Stegostoma tigrinum: one gene and its partner. The protein of the gene in region 1 interacts with the protein of each later gene in a pairwise test. Links are inferred from orthologs where the notes say so. Each region holds a gene or a part of one and is shown on either strand. Other genes may lie near its edges.

Region 1 (9,944 bases):
TACTCTCCTTAACTTGGTTGGTAAGCCACCTCACATTTTCACATATTATATTTCATTTGCAAAGCTTTTGTTGACTCATTCAACCTGTCTATATCTCTGTAGACGCTTTGTGTCGTCCTCAGCACGTACATTCGCATCTATTTTTGTGTCATTCACAAACTTGGCAATAATACATTCACTTCTCTCATTTGAATCGTATATATGTAATAAGTAATTGTGACCTCATCACTGATCCTTGTCGCATCCATAAGTTACAGGTTGGCTTCTTCAATATGATTTTCTCATCTTAACTCTTCGTCTTCTTTTAGTTAGCTGGTTGTCAATCCATGCTAATGTGCGATCCTCAACACCATGAGCTCTTATTAAATTTTGTGGGGTACCTCATTGAATATACCTGTCAAAAATGTAAATATGTCATATTTACTGGTTCCCTTTTATCTGTCCTGTTTGTTACATCCACAAAGAATTCTAATCGATTCAAAGAATAAAGAACAAAGAAAATTACAGCACAGGAACAGGCCCTTCGGCCCTCCAAACCTGCGCCGATCGAGATCCTCTGTCTAACCTGTCATCTATTTTCTAAGGGTCTGTGTCCATTTGCTCCCCACCCATCCATGTACCTGTCCAGAAATATCTTAAAAGACACTAACGTGTCTGCGTCCACCACCTCTGCTGGCAACGCGTTCCAGGCACCCACCACTCTCTGCGTAAAAAACTTTCCACGCATATCTCCCTTAAACTTTCCTCCTCAATTGGCATTCCTTCAATTGGCATAACTTTGTTTTCATGCAGCTGTATTGATTCTGCTTGATCATAAAGGATATAATAGTAGAGAATTTAGAAATACATCATTTTTTGTAATGATGAGGCTATCATTTACTGCCTGTCGCTTTTTGCCCTTGAGAAGATGGTTGGAAGCTGCCTTCTTGAACCACTGTGGTCCACATTCTGTAGGTAGATTCACATTGGAATTCCCTCCCTAATGGCATTGTGTCTCCATTATCTCTGTAGCTACTTGCTCTAATATCCCAGGATGTAACCAACTGGGGCCAATGGACCAATTAATCTTAAGCACCATCAGTTTCCCTCATAGACTTTTTCTCAAGTAATAGTTATTAAATTCATTTCTTCCTACCTTCTGCCCTTGTTAATTTGGTATTTTTGGAATGCCAGTAGTTTTGTCTACTGTGAAGACTGTTGCAAAGTAGTTATTTAGCTCTTCCGCTATTTCTCCCTTCCCTCCCCCACCACTTCGTCTCATCTCTGTCCCATACACACTCATTACAGCCTTGGACAAAAGCATTAAATTCCAGATGTGAGGTGAGAGTGACAGCCTTTTACATCAAGTCTGCATTTGACCGACTGAGTGTACCATTAAGGAGTCCTAACAAAACTGGAATCAGGGACAAACACTCCAGTGGTTGGAGTCATAACCTGGCACCTGGGAAGATGGTTGTGGTTGTGGGAAGTCAGTCATCTCAGCTCCAGAATATCTTTACAAGAGTTCCTCAAGGTCATGTTCTGGGCTTAACCATCTTCAACTGTTTCATTAATGACCTTCCCTCCATCATCAGGTCAGGAATGGGAATGTTTGCTAATGATTTTGCAATGTTCAGCACCATGCACGGCTCATTGGATACTGAAGCAGTCCATAGTTAAATGCAAAAAGAGTAAACCTACACAATATCCAGGTTTGGGCTGACAAGTGGCAAGTAACCTTCATGCCATGCTAGTGCCAGGCAATGACCATCTCCAACAAGAGACAATTTAACCACCATCCCTCGACATTCAGTCATGCTCCCATCACTGATTTCCCCCTCTATCAACATCCTTCGGGTTACCATTGACCAGAAACTCAACTTGCCGTATAAAACAACGGCTACAAGAGCAAGTCAAAGGCTAGGAATGCTGCAGTTAGTAATTCTCCTCTTGGCTCCCCAAAGCATATCCATCACCAAAATGGCACATGTCAGGAGTGTCATGGAATACTCTCACTTGCTTGGGTGCATACAGCTCCAAAAACATTCAGGAAGCTTGACACCATCCAAGACTAAAGTCACCAACTTGATCAGCACTATAGCAACAAACATTCATTTCCTGTCCCAAAAACACTCAGGATCAACATTGTGCATGGCCTACAAGATGCACTGCAGAAATTTGCCAAAAATCTTGGACAGCACCCTCCAACTCCACAACCATTTCCATCTAAAAGGGCAGCAGATGTATGAAAAAACACCACTCACTGCAAGTTTGCCTCAAAGCCACCATCCTGACTTGGAATGTCACTGTTCCTTCACTGTCGCTGAGTCAAAATCCTGGGATTCTCTCTATAATGGGATTGTGGGCCTACCAGCAGCACACAGACTGCCGCGATTCAAAAAGACAGCTCACCACCACTTTCTTAAAGGCAGCTAAGAACAAGCCATAAATGGCAATCAGCCAGCAATTCCCAAATCCTATGACAGAATAAGAAAAGCACATCCTCTCTCTCCCACAACATACTCATCTCTCCTTCTTTCATGCTCTCTTGCTGTGTCCCTTCCTTCTCCCCTTGCGCAGTCTCTCTCCCTTCTGCAGATTCTCTCTTCCTCCCTCACACACTCTTTCTTCCTGTCCCTTATACCCTACCTCCTGTTCCTTAACACCCTCTCTCTTTTCCTCTCTCACTATTTGCCTCTCTCAGGTACACTCTCTCTTTGTCTGGCTAACTGAGCTTCACTCCACCCAGCAACAACACTTTCAACCTCTGGACTTTGTGGCACACATTGTCTCCACTCTGACATACACTTCTGTTTTTCTAGTTATGAAGGTATGTTCTTGCTGTTGCTGCCACTCCTCTTCCTCATGGCCTTCCCAAATGCACCACCATTTTGAGTTCCTTCAGTGCTCTAGCAGTAGGACAGCAAGAAGTTAATGTTGAAGTTGGATAATTAGAATTAGATTTTATTGTCATGTGTACTTACGTACAGGGATACAAGAGTACAGTGAAAAGTGTACAATGTCACCATTCTTGGCACCATCTTAGGTACAAGGTAGAAAAATAAGTAATAGAGTTAAACATTCAACATTAAAGTACTTTGTACTTGTATAAAGTACAAAAATAAAGGAATGAAGTTAAAAGTTCCACGTTAAAGTCTTCTTAAGTGCTTAGCCATGTTTGACTTGCACTCCGCGCATGGGTGCAATCTCCTCCTTGCTGAGCTCGATCTTCTCTGCGTTAGGCATGCTCTTCACCACCACAGTGCTGGGCTCGATGTCCGCCACGCTGGTCTCGATGTCCCCCACGCTGGGCTCAATCTCACTGCACAGCACCGTAGTCAACTCCCTCCACTGCTGCTGCTGGGAACAAACTTTGGCTCAGATGTGCTGGACACCTTGATTCCACTGATCTCTCCACAGAAAGTAAATAGATTAAAGTAAGAAAAGAAAACTTTGGAAGAAAAAAGGGTATAAGACACTTATTAGACCTCAGATGAAAGACTGTTTACAGTAACAGCACCACATTGCAGGAAAGATTTGAATGCATTGGAGAGAGTACAGAAGCAATTTACAACAATGCTTCCAGAAAAAAAAACTTCAGTTCTGAGGATAGGCTGAAGAAGTTGGATTGTTTTCCTTGGAGCGAAGAAGACTGAGAAGAGATTCAGTCGATGTCTTTAAAGTCGTGAGTGGGCTGATAGTTAGGGAGGAACTTCTCCCACTCATAAAATACAAAAGAGTGAGCAGGCATAGATTTTGAATTGATGAGCAAAAGAAGCAAGGGTGATGCAAGAAAAACATTTTATTGTACAGTGACTGGCAGAAGGTAGAGTAGAGTTCTTTTTCAGGTTGAGATTGCTGAGCGCTTGCAAGTGCGCACTAAAACAGGATGGAGTCAGCATGATTTCATCATGGCAAGGTCATACCTGGCAAATCCATTAGAATTCTTTGAGGAAGTAACAAGCAAGTTAGACAAAGGATAGCCAGCATACATGATTACTTAGATTTCCAGAAGGTCTTTCACAATATGCTGCACAGGAGACTGATAAAAAAGAGCTCATACCCAGACACAAAAACAGAAGTTGCTGGAAAAGCTCAGCAGGTCTGGCAGCATCTGTGAAGAGAAATCAGAGTTAAAGTTTCGGTTCCGTTGACCCTTCCTTAGAACTGTTCCGAGGAAGGGTAATCAGATCTGAAACATTAACTCTGATTTTTCTTCACAGATGTTGCCAGACCTGCTGAGCTTTTTCAGCAATTTCTATTTTTGTTTCTTATTTACAACATCCACAGTTCTTGTGGTTTTTATTAAGAGCCCGTGGTGATAGGGGCAAGGTACTGGCATGGGTAGAGGATTGGTTGACTGGCAGATGGGTCTTTTTCAGAATGGCAGCGGCAATTAGTGAAGTTCCACATGGGTCTGTGTTGGCAACACAACTATTCATGTCAGACATCAACAATCTGAATGAAAGAGCTGACAGCATTGTTGCTAAGAGATAATGGGAACTGCAGATGCTGAAGAATCCAAGATAACAAAGTGTGAAGCTGGATGAACACAGCTGGCCAAGCAGCATCTCAGGAGCACAAAAGCTGCAAGGGTCCAGACCCGAAACGTCAGCTTTTGTGCTCCTGAGATGCTGCTTGGCCTGTTGTGTTCATCCAGCTTCACACTTTGTTAGCATTGTTGCTAAACTTGCCGATGACACAAAGATAGATGGACGGACAGTTTGAGTTGAGGAAGACGACAGGCTAGGAGATTGAGTAAAGAGGCAGATGGAATGCAACCTGGGAAAGTGTGAGGTTCTGCATCTTTGTAGGAAGAATTGAGGTGCAGATTATTCTCTAAATGGGGAAAGACCTCAGAAATCTGAAACACAGAGGGACTTGGGAGTTCTGGTTCTGGATTCTCTGGCGGTTAACATGCAATTTCATTTGGCAGTTAGGAATTCAAAAGCAATATTAGCATTCATTTCAAGATGGCCCTGTATTTAAGGATGTGCTGGTGTTGCAGGGAGTCCACAGAAGGTTTACAAGAATGATCTCAGAGATGAAGGGCCTGTCGTATGAAGAACAGTTGATGATCATGTACTTGACAGAGTTTAGAATATGAGGGGGGAACAGTTTGAAACTGAAAAGCCTGGACCTGGAGATATTTCCACTCAATCATGGAGCAGGTCAACTCAGGCTCCTACCCCCAGGGCAATACGATGGCTCAATGGTTAGCACTGCTGCCTGACGGCACCAGGGACCTGGGTTTGATTCCAGCCTCGAGAGACTGCCTGTGTGGAGTTTGCATATTCTCCCCGTGTCTGTGTGGGTAGCCTCCCACAGTCTGACGATGTGCAGGTTAGGTGGATGGGCCACGCTGAATCGTCCATAGTGGGAAATGCAAGGATAGGGTAGGGGATTGGTATGGGTGGGATGCTCTTCGGAGGATCGATGTGGACTTGATGGGCCGATTAGTCTGCTTCCACACCGTAGGGATTCTGTTCTATGATTCTGATCGATATTGGATTTAACTGCAATCTGAGTTTTCAATGTCCGCGTCGACCGACACAAACGATACACCACAGAACAGGCGACGCGCATGCTCAGCGGTGTCGCCCGGTGTCTGGTGGCGCGCAGGCGCATAGCTCAGGCGGCAGTGGCACGCAGGCGCAGAGGGGATTTTTCAGGGGGCTCGCCAAGGGTTGAGGGCGGATCTCGCGTGATCTGAAGCCTGGCCTTTAAATTTATTTTCCCATTGGATGACCCTTGGTGCAACGTCACTCCCTGCCGGGTCAAACAGTAAATTGTATTTAATTTCCAGATTACAGGTTAAAATGAAGTGCGTGGGAAAGGTGAGGTCGCTCAGTTGGTGATGGGAATGGCAGTATCCTGTTTGCCCAGTGCCCTGTTTATTGACCGAGATGGAAGTTTGTACTTTGCTTTTGTCCCTGATTTTTATTTTCGTCCTGACGTCATTGAAGCGACCGGCCCGTGTCGTCATCACGTGGTGCCTGATGTCGCTTAAGTTTAGAGATTGTGGAGGCGCTGGAAGAGTTTGAAGATTAATTTTGAATATAGAAAGGAGCCATCTCCCTGTCTCACTTTGGTTGCATCTGTATCTGTTGTTGGTGATGCTTTGTCCTTCCTGTGTTTGTAGTTTCTTCTCGCTTTCAAAACGGCCAATTTCCTAAACCTTTTCATTCATTCCGCTTTCCCAAATATTTACAAACGTGGAGAATTTCTGAGGCCTAATTGTCGCTGTTTGTAAACAAGAATAAGAAACAGTTGTTTGTTGGTTATACTTCACTTTTTGCTGCCAAGTTCTTGAAAGAATTTTCTTCTATTCAATTTGAGCATTAGTGAACGTACCATTAATTACATCAGAGTGTTGCTTCATGTAACTCAACTTCACTGTTATGCCGCGGGATATCTGCAACAGTAAGTGTATACTTAACATTTTCAGATGTGTCATTTAAATACAGCTTTTCATACTGACTCTTATTTGAATATTACTTAATATGCTGCTTGGTTAAATATGCTAAGAGTTCATTTTGAAATTGAGCCTAACTAATTTTTTAAGCCTTCAGTTTTTTGGGTTGTGGCCTAAAACCATTGCAAAATGTTGTTTCTAAAATTAACTTTAACTTTAACTTAAACTTTTTAAACCTGTGTAATATTTTTGTCTTTCTTTGTGTAAATTTAAAAAAAAATTTCAATTGTTGGTAACAAATGAAGAAAGTAAGGTACAGTTGGAGTAAAAACACTTGTTTTGGATACAAGGGTTGTGGCTAATTGGGAATTCTGAGCTAAAAAGTTTATAAACTTCTGTAAATGAAAATTTTAGCACATAGGTTGAACTCAACTCTTACCTTTACAACCTGCATCTGAAATTTTTTGGTAACTAGTCTTAATGTGCTTAAACTTACTGTCAATTTTTAACCTAGTTTTGCTTCTGTGGGGTGAGCTTCTTGCATTAAAGCTATGATATGAATGTTGTACTATCAGAAGAAGAGGGAATTTACATGAATATGTAGCCATGTTAGCATGAATGAGTGTCATCTTTGTCAAATCTCTGGTGTTTGAAGATGCAGAGTAATTGTCACATGAATTTCTGAAAATGATGTATGCTAGCTGAAATGACTTAATTGAAGAGGTATGAGCTAGTGAGGAGTATGCACTGAACTGAAAATTTGTCAGTACAAGGCTTTTTTTTGGTTGTACTGCTGTGGTGTGAAGAATCAGAATTACGAGAGAAATTAAGAATGACTTGGACTTTGAAAAGTATCATGTGCCATCGTATGTGAATACACCAATCCCCCCTCCTTTTGGCATCTGAAATGATGCAAAGTATTTATTAGTTCATTTTCTAAAGATGTTCCTGAAGTGGATTCCACCCATCTCTTAACTTTCAGCTAATGGTGGTCACTAAATGAATGGTTAAACTTAAAGGGTGAAGTGATGGTTAGTGTAAGAAATAACAGTAGAAAAAAATTCAAGTAGTAAATTAGATGCTACTTTTCTGAACTTGCTGTGAAGAGACCTTGGTAGAAGAAAGTAAAGAGAGGTTTAATCTGGCTGCATTCTGTTTGAAATGCTGGATGCTGACACCTGCTGCCAACAGAAGGGAAAAATGTTTTGTTTATCAGTATTATTGACATTCCTCACATTGAGTACAAATGCTCTATTGATTTGTATGAGGGAAAATAAGATGTATTGGTAGTCTCTTTGCTATTTACAATAACCAAGTTTTCAAATGAGAGCCAGGTATCAGGTGAAGTTGATGTTGAGAATTTAAGGCACCTAGTGTATTTGTTTGAAGTGTTTTCTATTAATTTGTGCAAACTGCCACCTTTGCGAAGTGGCAGTTCATATTCATTCCTACCAGGTCTTGAAGAACTGGGAGGATGGCATGTTGGGAAGGATATATTTTGCTATTGGTGATTGTCAGCATGATTATCTTTTGTAGTTTTAGGTCTTTAATAACTGTATTTTACCTATGCGTATCGATTAGGTGCTGTTGATTTCCATCAAGACTTTGATATTAGTTGATCAAACTAGATATAAATGAATATCTCGGTAGAAACTGCATCCTTGGTGAATAAGTGGGTATTTTTGGGTAAATTGTATGATAGTATTCATGTTTAAACTTGTGTAAGTTTAAGTAAGAAAGAAAATAGCTATATTCAATATCCGTTCACCTCACTTTTTGTAGTTCTGACAGGTTGCCTAGTTACAGTAGAAGTGTAACAGAACACGTCTGTTTATCCATGTTGCAGTTTTGAGTTGCTGTTATGTCAAGATTAATTGGCTTCCTTTTGATCTGTTCCTTTTCTAATCAGTGTACAGTATTATTTTAAGTAACTTCTGTTCCTTTTTAAGGTATGACTTCAGTGAATTCAATTTTAAGCACTTCATGAAAACCTTGAGTTTGTGAATGAACATAGTACACTTTATAGGGTTAAAGGTGTAGCATGATTTAACTACATAAATGACTTCAGTGCTAGGTATTGCTTGGTGCAGTAGGGTTTTGTGCTTGGCTGTGAGGTAGCTTTCACTTACTTTCTGTCTGGAAATAAACATTGCTACAGTTACGCCACTATTGATAGCTCTTTTTGTACCAAGTCTTTATTTTTCTTTTCTATATTGTCCTCATTATTTATCTTGCTTAGTATAATCTCCATAGGAAATGGTAATATTTATGGAGTTGTGAACCTTTTCAGATTTTTCTCCACTTTTTTTCAACTAGCCTCCATGGGCTGAAGTAGGTGCAATATTTGTGTACATTCTAACACTAGAAAGAATACAAGTTTTACTGAGAACCAAAGCTTCATATTATTGACTTTTTTAAAAAAAAGTCCACACTCTATACATCATTAACTGCCCAAACTGGTAGTAATGATTATCTACTACTCATTGCATTTCCTAAGGCACATTGCAATTATTTCACTGCAAAAAAAAGCACTTTGTGTAAAAATTCTCACCAACAAATCAGATGGACAAGGTACATTGGATTTCTTGACAATGTCTAATTTCCTTTCATGTACATTTCTACAGTTTTCCAACCTTTTATCAGGTTCATACAGCAATAAATGCTGATGCGGTTAAAACTGGAAAAATGAATCTTTGAATGACCCTTGGGTTGTGCTGCGATGAAAAGAAGCAGAGTCGTGTGGTGCTGTTGCTGGGAAGTTCACACTGTGGAATTGCTCCCTTTTGGTGAAGAAAGGTACATTGATAGATCCTGAATTATGATAAGACAATAATGCACTGATCTGTTGCTAGCCTTTGTTATTTTCTAATTTTTCATTCTTAAAAAAACAACGACAAATAAAAAGGTTAAAATAGGTTTTGTTTATTCTGAGTTACATTGAGGAAACAGAAGTCGACTCAAGATAATCATATGTATTTTACACTTATAGGGATCTGCCATGAGGTGTTGATACCATATTTTAAAACCCTGAGACATAGGACCTAAATGGCGCAGCATGACTTTGCTCCAGCCTGGCTTAATTTTCCAACTCCACCTTCATCAACTAAGGTATTAGAATACACCATTTAACTTTTGCATTTTCTGATATTTGAACAGCTCACTTTTTTGGTTCACAATATTTGTTTCACAAGGATTCTTTTGTGTACAAGTGGAATATTCAATTCTTATAACTGCAGTACGTAAGAATGTGTTTTTTCTAGTTGAGGACGAATGTTGCTTGTGCTTTGTTTTGTAAACTGATTTTAATTGGACTGTTTAATTAAGTTGTAATATGGATTTTTAAAAAATCTATTATTTCCTTGTAATAGATTAACTCTTGAAATCTCAGTGACTGCTTTCCATTGATCAAGTGTTAAATCTTGTTTTTCAATATAAATTGGAATGCACTAACTTCTATTATTAGACATAAAACATAAAAATTTCAGAGCATAAATTGTAGCCATTTGGCCTCTTAATTGTCTGTGTCCTCTTTTTGGTAGAGAATTCAAAA
Region 2 (10,374 bases), on another chromosome or scaffold:
GATCGGACATACCCTTTCTATGGTCATTCTCTTGTTCTGTACATACATGTAAATAGCTTTGGAGTTTTCCTTGATCCTATCTGCCAAGGTTTTCTCCTGCCCCCTTAGCTCTCCTAAGCTCTTGCTTCAGCTCCTTCCTGGCTAAGTTATATCCCTTTAGAGCCTTTCTGTTCCTCTTTTCGTAAACCGTACATAAGCCTCCCTCTTCTTCTTAACCAGTCGTTCGACCTCTCTCAAGAACCATGGCTCCCTTACTCAACCTTATCTTCCCTGCCCACTAGGGACAAACATATCAAGCACATGCAGTATGCATTCCTTAAACAATCTCCACATTTCTACAGTGCTCTTCCCTGACAGCATCTGTTCCCATTTTATGTTACCCAGTTCTTGCCTAACAGAATTGTATTTACCCTTCCCCCAATCATAAACTATACCCAGCTGTATGTACCTATCCTTACCCATGACTATCATGAAAGAAACAGAGTTATGATCGCTACCACCAAAATCCTCTCATACCAACAGGTCTAACACTTGGTCCGATTCGTTGCCAAGCACCAAATCCAAAGTGGCCTCTCCTCATGTTAGTCTATCTACATATTGCACCAGGAATCCTTCCTGAATGCACTGGACAAATTCCGCTCCATCTAAACTATTACAACTAAAATGTTTCCAATCAATATTTGGAAAGTTGAAGTCACCCATGACTACAACCCTGTGACTTCTGCACCTTTCCAGTATCTGCCTCCCAATCCACTCCTCCACTTCTCTGCAACTATTAGGGGGTCTGTCAAAAAGTCCCAATAAAGTGACTGCTCCTTTCTTGTTCCTGACCTCAACTCAAACTGACTCTGTAGATATATCATTCTCGAACTGTCTTTCAGTAGCTGTTATACTCACCCTGTCTAGCAATTCCACTCTCCCAACTCTTTTTCCACCCTCCCTATTTGTTTTAAAGCATCTAAGTCCCAGAACTTCCAGCAACCCTTTCTCTCCCTGAATTATTCAAATTCCTGTAATGGCCACAACATCGTAGTTCCAAGTGCCGACTCATGCTCTAAGTTCATCCGCTTTATTTCTGATACTTATAACATTGAAGTATACACACCTCAAACCATTTCAGTGTCCACCATTATGCTCTATCGACTGCATTTCTTTATAAACCACCTCACTCCCTGTTGTGTCTGTTGGAAGGCCGAATACCTCATCCTCTGAATTACAAATCCAGTTCCCAACGCCCTGCCAATTCAGTTTAAACCACCCCGTACAGCTCCCTCCCAGGATATTTGTGCCCTTCTGGTTCAGATGCAACACCTCCTTACTGTATAGGTCCCACCTTCCCCAGAATGTGTTCCAATTATCCACATAAATATCTAGACGTTTCCTTTTCTTTTGGCTGTCCCTTTTATTTCTGCTTCTGTTTTTAATCCAATCCTTTGTATCCTAAGATGTTGCCAGAGAATAGTGACTTTGTGCACTTTTCACTGTATTACTGTATTTCTGTTTTCAGGTACACACGACAATAAAAAATTTAAATTGAAAACTAAATCTAAATTTCATTCTGGCCTAGCCGATAATGGTTACATCTTATGAACAAATATTAAAAAAACCTCTCAAAAAATCCCATGAAAATATTTTACTCTTGAATAACATGGACCTGCATTTGATGCATGTGAACTGAGATCCAAATTCATTTCTCATATATTGCAAATAGACACAAGCCTATACTCTCAAAGGTGTAAACAAATGTATGATGGAATGCTGAGATAACAAGGTGTAGAGCTGGATGAACACAGCAGGCCAAGCAACAGCAGAGGAGCAGGAAAGCTGAAGAAGGGTCTGGGCCCGAAACGTCAGCTCTCCTGCTCCTCTGATGCTGCTTGCCCTCTGTGTTCATCCAGCTCAATTCCTTGTTATCTCAGATTCTCCAGCATCTGCAGTTCATACTATCTATGATGGAATACTGTTGGAATGCCATTTTGCCTTAGAATCATAGTCTGGATGCAAGAAATCTACAGCTAGAGAATTTAGCGAATGGCAAAAGCACTGTTTTCCATGAATCTGAAGGAATTAAAGAAATCAAACAAACTTTCTAGTTTACAATATTCACTCTGTTGTGTCCCACATGCCATTTTTTTGTGATTTCAAAAGCATTATTATCAGTAGGTTATCTTCATCTTGCTCATTCTCTTGGCTCCATTACAAACATTTGTCACCAGAAAGTGCAAGCCATCACAACTGTAAGTTTTAGAGATAATGGGAACTGCAGATGCTGGAGAATCCAAGATAACAAAGTGTAGAGCTGGATGAACACGGCAGGCCAAGCAGCATTTTAGGAGCACTAAAACTATGTTTTGGGCCTAATGTTTAGGCTCAAAACATCAGCTTTTGTACTCCTAAGATGCTGCTTGGCCTGCTGCGTTCATCCAGCTCTACACAATTGTAAGTTTTCACAGTTATGTTATGTCAAAAACATCACATTCTACTTCTCCGCACGTTCTTCCCTCAAGATTTTCCAACTGTCATCCCAACATTATGATGGTATACAAGCTCAAGTTTCTTGCAGGTTAATACTGGCAAAGCCAAAGCTATTTTTTTTTCAATTGCCACTAGCATCTATATACCCATGAGCTTTATTCCGTCAATTTCTCCAAGAGTTTAATCAGATTAAATATACACCTAGACACACAGTCAAGGCTTGGATCCTTAATTGTGGCATAGCATGTTGAGTTCATTAGCTCAATTTCTCATGATAATTTTCAATCTACAAAATTCTCCTCCGTCTTTCCCACTCCCACCCCTGCCTCATTCTTACACAAATGTACTGGAATAGACATAAAGACAACATAACAAACTAATGCTGTAATTTAAGAGGTTTACTTTTAAATACTAAAATGACAGAAGCAACCTGCTATTATGTTCATTTCATTCAAGACTGATACATTTCCTGTTCATAACATTGTTCCGTTGTAAATGAAAGTATTTGAAAATGTTGGCACATAGTGTTATCTACCATGAGAACAAAGAGTGAAGTCAAACGCAAAATATAAATCTAATTTTGGATCCAGGTTTGCATTATGCTTGACTAGAAAGTGAAATCACAGAATGCTGTTAATCTTTGTTTTATCTCTGCTGTTTGCTACAACCCAAGTCCTGTATTATAAGTTGGAAGTGAGATGTATCAGAGTGAACATACTTTATGTTTAACGCTTCACGGCATGATATAAAGGTTAACCTCATGGCTCCTGAGGGAACAGCTGTGGGGGCTTAAATCACATGATCTTGCATGTATAAACTTGTCTGTCTGTTGTAAAGGTACAGATCTACAAAGATATTAAAAATGGGCTTTGTATTAATGGTTCATGGAGGGATAAATACTCAGTCGGATTGATGAAGGTAAAAACAAAGGCTTCTTCCAGTATTTGGGTCAACTTTCCTCCCTCATCAGTGCCAGCAGAAAAAAACACAATAACTGATCTCACATTTCATTACTGTCTGTGGTATATTGCTTTGCACAAAATGGGCTTCACAATGTTGATACATGAAATTACATGCTTTAGAAGTTCAGAAAACTCAAATCTTTCAGAGTAACAGATGTTCACTACAATATTGCATAAGGCAGAATTGATGGCAACTCAAAAAGTGTTGAACTGTGTCTATAAAGCTTAATATGGGTGAAGGCTAACATTTCCGGTAAAAATCAAATTTTAAATTTTAGTCATCGATAAAGCACATGTACAACTTTGCCTGTCTTGGCTTCTACACAGTGCTTTTGTTACCTCAAAGATTGAGTTCTCAAACTTTCTCTTTGTTTAATTCATTATATTTGAATGACTATTACACGAATGAAAGTTACTGGCTTTCTCTTTCTGTTGTAAGTGATGTATATTTTGATATTATTTGTTACAGTTCAGATTTTGAGTTCATCTTTTCAGTCACAACAATAAGCCAAGTCTTACAATACTCCTAATCAATGTTTTGTAAAGCAAATTGTTTTGTTTTGTTGCATTTTTATGTATATTTTACAACACACAAAACTTAATTTTTTTAAATTTCCTTACCTGAAAGAATTTTAGCAACCCACTCCATTATAAAAATACTTCGGTGCTTTTTCATGTTCAATATATCAATAGACAGTATCAACAATTTAGAAATGTTTTCTGATGTTTAAATTGTATTGTTAAGTTTGTATAATTTGAAACATTTACTTAAAAACAAAAGAAGGAGGATTAAAGTCAATTCTCCTTTTGACTTCAAGTGGAAGGGTAATTGCTACAGACCTTTTCTCCTGACATTTTATCCATCATTTTTTTGAATTAATAAAATGGAAAATATAATCTAATATTAATGATTATTAGTATAGAGCAGTTCCTTCATTACAAAAGATATTCAGAGAGATTTTCCAGCTTTGTAGCTCCTTAACAATGTTGTGCAGTTGATAATAAGTAGCTTGATCTCAAAATGAATGATATTAATGGATATGTAATAGGTATCTGACAATATCTTTGTAGTTTTGGCAATTTGTTGGAGTCAGAAAGAAGAGACATAATAGCAACATGCAGCAAATAACATCTTAGAGTGAAGACAACATAACTGGTCTTGTCAGATAAAGTACACTTGTTTCAGTCGAATACCAAGAACAGTCATTAGAATCATCTTGAGGAATCAACAGATTAAAGTATAATGAGCCAAGATAGATTTTGTACAATTTCAGAGATGTTTAATGTTCCCTTACCTTTAATAACCAGATATAATATTAATTTTCTGCTCTGAAGCTCCACATAAAATAATTTTCATGTTGGAGGCTGTTGAAATTAGGCATTTATGTTTTTGTATATAGATTGGGTCCATAACAGATGGGGTTGTTATAAATATTATGCCAAGCAGAATAGAATATTTGGTGCCAATAGTACAGTTCTCTCTCAGAACATAACTGAACAAAATCAGTAAAGTGCCAACGATTTTCAGCTAAATATGATTAGTACAATGCCAATCATTTGCCAATTAGCTCAGTATATGGGACAAACACAGAACAAAATGGATTAGAATAAATGTATAATGCTAGAGATTTAGCTCCTAGGTTCTTTTATACTAACATATTAAAAAATCAATTCCTAGATGCCTGCAAACAATGGGAGACAGTTTAGCATAATTTAATGGTTGAAACGGATACCCTGAAAATATTACATTGTTCATAGAACCACAGGATTGTTATATCTTCCCATTGTGCCTGCATTATCTAATGTCAGTCTCCTGCCTTTACCCCACATCCCTGCAGACCATAACAATTCAAACAAAAATCTAATGTCCTCCTGAATGCTTTTTACGTGGTATATTTAATTTTTGGCTTGTTTAACCATTTGTTTTAGTGAATGCAGCACATTATGGACTAGTCTGAGTTTCTGAAGCTCAAAAACTGTGAATAATATAACCATATCCTTTATGCATGTAGCCAGACGGTACATCATCCATTAAATCAAACATACAACAGTTCAAAACCTAAATTCACACATAATTTAGTTGGCAGCACTCTGCTGGTACTACTCTGAAGTAAGTAGTAAAACATAAAAGTTAGAGATCTGAATAAATATGTTCAATTTAACATCACTAAACAAATGCATCCTCAGTGATTAAGAGCTCCCCATTATTGCCATAGAGGAATCACTACATGATTACTGGGACATGAGAATTGGCATCCCCATAAGTCTTTTCTTAATGAGCTTGAACTTGAAATGTTGACTCTGTTTTTCTCTCCACAGATGCTGCCAGACCTGCTGAGTTTCTCCAACGCTTTGTTTTTGTTTCAGATCTCCAGCATCTGCAGTTCTTTGTTTTATACTATTGTGATATTGAGCCTCATTGGTCTGTGTAGTGAAGGTCCTCTCTCGGTGGCTTTCGGATGAAACATCCATGAATGTGATCCAACTGTAAAGAAACAACATTTCCCAATTACAATAGTGTGGGAGGAGATGATGGAGGTGGTGGATATCCCAATTAATCTGCTTTGTTCCTCCAGGGGAAGGATGTTAGGGATTGTGGAATTGCTGCTGAAGAGGATTTGGTGAGTTGTTGCAGTGTGTCTTATACATTCTGTGATGGAGTGAGTGAATGCTTATGGTGAAACGGGAGCTATTGATCAAGTATGCTGCCTTCTTCCAGCTGGTATCAAGCTTCCTGAGTTTTAGAGCTGCACTTATCTGGACAGTATTTCATAACATTCCTGATTGGAATCTTTTAAGTAGTGTAAAAACTTTGAAGAGTCAGGAGGTGAGTCACTCACTGCAGAATACCAGCCTCTGACCTGTTCCTGGAAGCACCCATTGTGATAACTGCCCAGATGTTGAAAGTGGGAAGTTCAGTGAAATTAATGCTATTGAATGTCAAGGGGAGATGGTTAAATTTTCTCCAAGGAGCATAGAAAGAAGTGGCACAGAAAGATGCCATTCAGTCCAACATGTCTGTGATGGTTTCAAAAGATCTATTCCAACTATTGGTTTCTAAACCAATAGGCTACAGTATTTTGAGCACATACCAAAGTATTTATTTGTTAAACAGGATGAGGATTTTTGCTGCTCCCATCCTTTCAGGCAGTGCGTTCCAGACTCTGACCACCTTCTGGCTGAAAATGTTACTTCTTAATTCCTCCCTAAATCTTCTATTAAACTGTTTAGGACTATGTCTCTCACCCTCTTTATTGACATTGGTGGTAAGAGAAATAAATTCTTTCTACCTATTTATTGCAGCCATTCATATTCTTATTGAGCTCAATTATGTCGCCTCTTCATTTCTTGCAATCCAAAGACAATAACCCTAGCCTATTCAGTCTTCTATATATTATCTATTATGATTACATTCTTCCTATAATGTAGAGACAAGAACTGTATGAAGTCCTCTACCTGTCACCTAACAAGTGTCTTATATGTTCTTTCCCCCAATATCCCTCCAAAAAGGAACACCACATATGTTGATCTATCCTCTTTCAAGGACACTAAATTCATAAATGTTTTCTCTTTGACCTGTTACATCCTGGGATCCGTGAAAATGCACTGTTATGTGCCTCTCTTTCTCTACACCATTCAGAACATGATTGCTCATTGTGTATTTCTTTCCCTTGTTTGTCTCTTCAAATACATTTCCTCACATTTCTGCAGATTGACTTGCATTTGCCACTTTTCTACCCACCTTAGCAGTCCGTCGATATTTTTCTGCAGGCTGCAGCTCTTCTTCCTCATTATCATTCATACAGTCAAATTTATGTATCACTTGCAAATTTCTCACTCATATCACATAAATGTAAGTCTAAAATGTGGATACATACCACATGCAAGATGCCATTGATTACCACTTTCGGTCAGCAGTCAAATTGAACTAAATTAATCAAATCACCAGAAAAGATTGCCACTTCTGTTTTTAGGAAGGAGGGAAGGTAACTGACAAAGCAGTTGAACTTGATTTGAGCAAATCACTGTAGATGCTGGAATCTGTACTGAAAACAACAAATGTTGGAGATCACAGCGAGTCAGACAGCATCCAAGGAGAGAGAGAGAGCAAGCCAGTGTTTCAAGTCGAGATAACTCTTCATCAGAGCTAAAATGAGGTGTGGAGGGGGGGCAGCATTTATGCTTTCATTGGCAGGTCAGTGTGGTGGTGGTGGGTTGTGGAGTGCTGGTGAAGAAAAGATGTTGATAGTTTAGATTAAGTGATTGGAATGTGAGAATGGCAGAACAGTGGTGTGTCTAAGTGCCAGAGAAGACAGTCCCACAGGTGTGGGGGAGGTGAGAGAGGACATGGTGACAGAGAATGTAGCAAGTAAAGCTAGAAAAAGGGAAGACCTGTTCTTCTCAGTTTCCCAGCTTCAACACAATATTGTTACATGGAAAAAAACCTACCAATTAAAATACAGGGCATAGATCCTCATTCATATCTTAAGAATACATTCAGTTTTGATGTCAAAGCCCAGGAAGGATATAACGGTCCTAGAGATGATCCAGCGCACATTTACATTTATAGAATGAGACAAGGCTTCAGGAGATTAAATTAAATGTGAATAAATGTGGCTTGTCTTACCTTGGTTACAATGAAACTGTTCAAAGTAATAAAAGATCTTGATCAAGTAAGTATGGAGAAAGTACTGCAGGAAATCAAAAGCAAGCACGAACAGTCTCTATTTTTTTAAATTCACACCTTTGTTATTTAATGCAGTAAATGAAAAATCCCTAGTACAGATTCATGAAACAATTTCATTCCCTGAAACAAATTAATTCCCTGAAACAAATTCTTGGCCTGCTCATGATCCGGAGTGGCTACAGCTTACGTGACATCAATTAAACAATTGAGTCAAAACTGACAATTAACAGAAACTGCTCTTGAATTACTTTCTCAACTTTTTGAAGAGTCTCTGGGCAATTGCAACATAAAATATGTCAATGATCTTTAATGAGTTTTACAATATTTTACTGAATAAACCAGGCAGAATGATGGTGAAAATTCAACGAGTTAGCTAAATCTCAATTTTATGAGTTCTGAGGATGGGTCACTTGACCCGAAATGTTAACTCTGATTTCTCTTCACAGATGCTGCTGAATTTTTCCAGCAATTTCTGTTTTTATTTCTCAACTTTAGAGCTTGATTTCATCCTATACAAACAATGTTGTGTTCAATATGCTATGAGAAATTTCCAATCATACTTTTTAGCAATGAGACCTACTTGTCACAACTCAGTGTCGAAAAATATTTACTTCATTGATACATTGATACAGTTGCTTGGGTAAAATACAGCTACGTCACTTGGACCTGATGAGTTATCCTAGGATATTAAAGGAAGTAGCTACAGAGATTTGATTGATTGATTGATTTATTTATTTATTGTCACATCGATTTTGTTCCAAATTCATTGAAAAGTGTTCAATGATGTCACTACTCTCCAGCACCATCTTAAAATGCAGAAAAACAAAAGATAGATATTAAAGACAGAAAAATAAAGAAATAATGAAAAGTTTTCAACTCGTTGTTAAATGCTCCATCCTGGTGGTCCCTGGGCCTAGTGACCAGGCATGAGTGGGTATGGTGGCTCGGTGGTTAGCGCTGCTGCCTCACAGTGCCAGGGACCTGGGTTCCATTCCACCTTTGGGTGACTGTCTGGGTGGAGTTTGCACATTCTCCCCATGTCTGCATGGTTTTGCTCTGGGCACTTCAATTTTTCCCAGGGTCCAAAGGTGTGCGGGTTAGGTGGATTGGCCATGCTAAATTGCCCAGTGTGTCCAGGAATGTTTGGTTGAATAGATTAGCCATGGGAAATGCTGGATTACAGGGTTAGGGTTGGGGGGTGTGGTCTGCCTTGAATTCTGTTTGGCGGGTTGGTGTTGACTTGTTGAGCTGAATGGCCTGCATCTACACTGTAGGGATTCTATGTTTTGATGATATTATGAGTCCCCTTTGTTGCGCCACTGTTGGAACGAACGTTGCCACCCTTCAGCGCTATCTTGTTTCTACTGATGCCTGCACCACTCTGAGCCCTCGCTGAACCTCACCAGTGCAGCTACCACCAATACTGCCAGGTATCGCATCTGCCCAGATGTGACTCCGCTGCCACCATGTGTCTGCTTCAAGCAGAAATATTACAAGAATCTTTTAGATTATGGAAAAGACCTAAACGATTGGAAAAGTGCGAATGTCACACCTTTATTCAAACAAACTATTTAGGCCAGTTAACCTAACATCTGTCATTAGTAAAATGTTAGAGCCTATTCTAAGGAATATAGTAACAGAGAATTTAGAAATGCATAATCTAACCAAGCAGAGTTAGCATCAGCTTTACAAAGGAGAAGCCAATTCTGACAAATTTATTAAAATACTTTGAAAAGGTAAAAGGTAGGATGGATAATGGGAACTCAGTAGATGTAATATATTTGGATTTCCAATATACATTTGATAAGGCACCACAGATAAAGCAAATTAATAAGAGCCCATGGCGGTTAGAGTAGGGTGTTGGCATAGGTAGAGAATTGACTAAATAAAAGCAAACAGAGAATTGGAATAAAAATAACATTTCCAGGATGGTAGGCCGTAACTGCTGGAGTGCAACAGTGTTGAATGCTGAATTTACAATTGTTTGGATGAGGAGAGTGAATGTACTATTGCCAAGCTTGCAGACAACACAAAAATAGTTGGGAAGGTAAGTGCTAAGAATAAAGCGATGAGTCTATAGAGGGATATAGAGAGGTTTAAGCTGTTGGTGAAAACTTGGCAGATGCAATATAATGCAGGAAAAAGTGAAGTAATGCACTTGGGTGAGAAGAATAGAGGAGTGAAAGTTATTTAAATAAGGAAAGAAAGCTACAGCACATTTAGGGGTTTTGAGGCTCTTTGTGAATGAAT

What was found.
Region 2: the proteins of vasculin-like (region 1) and fibronectin type III domain-containing protein 11-like interact in binary tests that used the Homo sapiens proteins (3 or more experiments, as listed by UniProt). The link is inferred for Stegostoma tigrinum from reciprocal best matches to the Homo sapiens genes GPBP1 and FNDC11.

The regions. Positions count from the first base shown.
Region 1 is NC_081354.1:123,792,795-123,802,738, reverse strand, and holds the start of vasculin-like, read left to right. Parts: upstream 1-5,678; 5' UTR 5,679-5,816; intron 5,817-5,862; exon of another isoform or gene 5,863-6,402; intron 6,403-9,018; 5' UTR 9,019-9,190; intron 9,191-9,383; 5' UTR 9,384-9,439; coding exon 9,440-9,502; intron 9,503-9,944. UniProt on the Homo sapiens protein: Functions as a GC-rich promoter-specific transactivating transcription factor.
Region 2 is NC_081372.1:36,213,250-36,223,623, forward strand, and holds the start of fibronectin type III domain-containing protein 11-like, read left to right. Parts: upstream 1-6,029; 5' UTR 6,030-6,058; intron 6,059-10,374.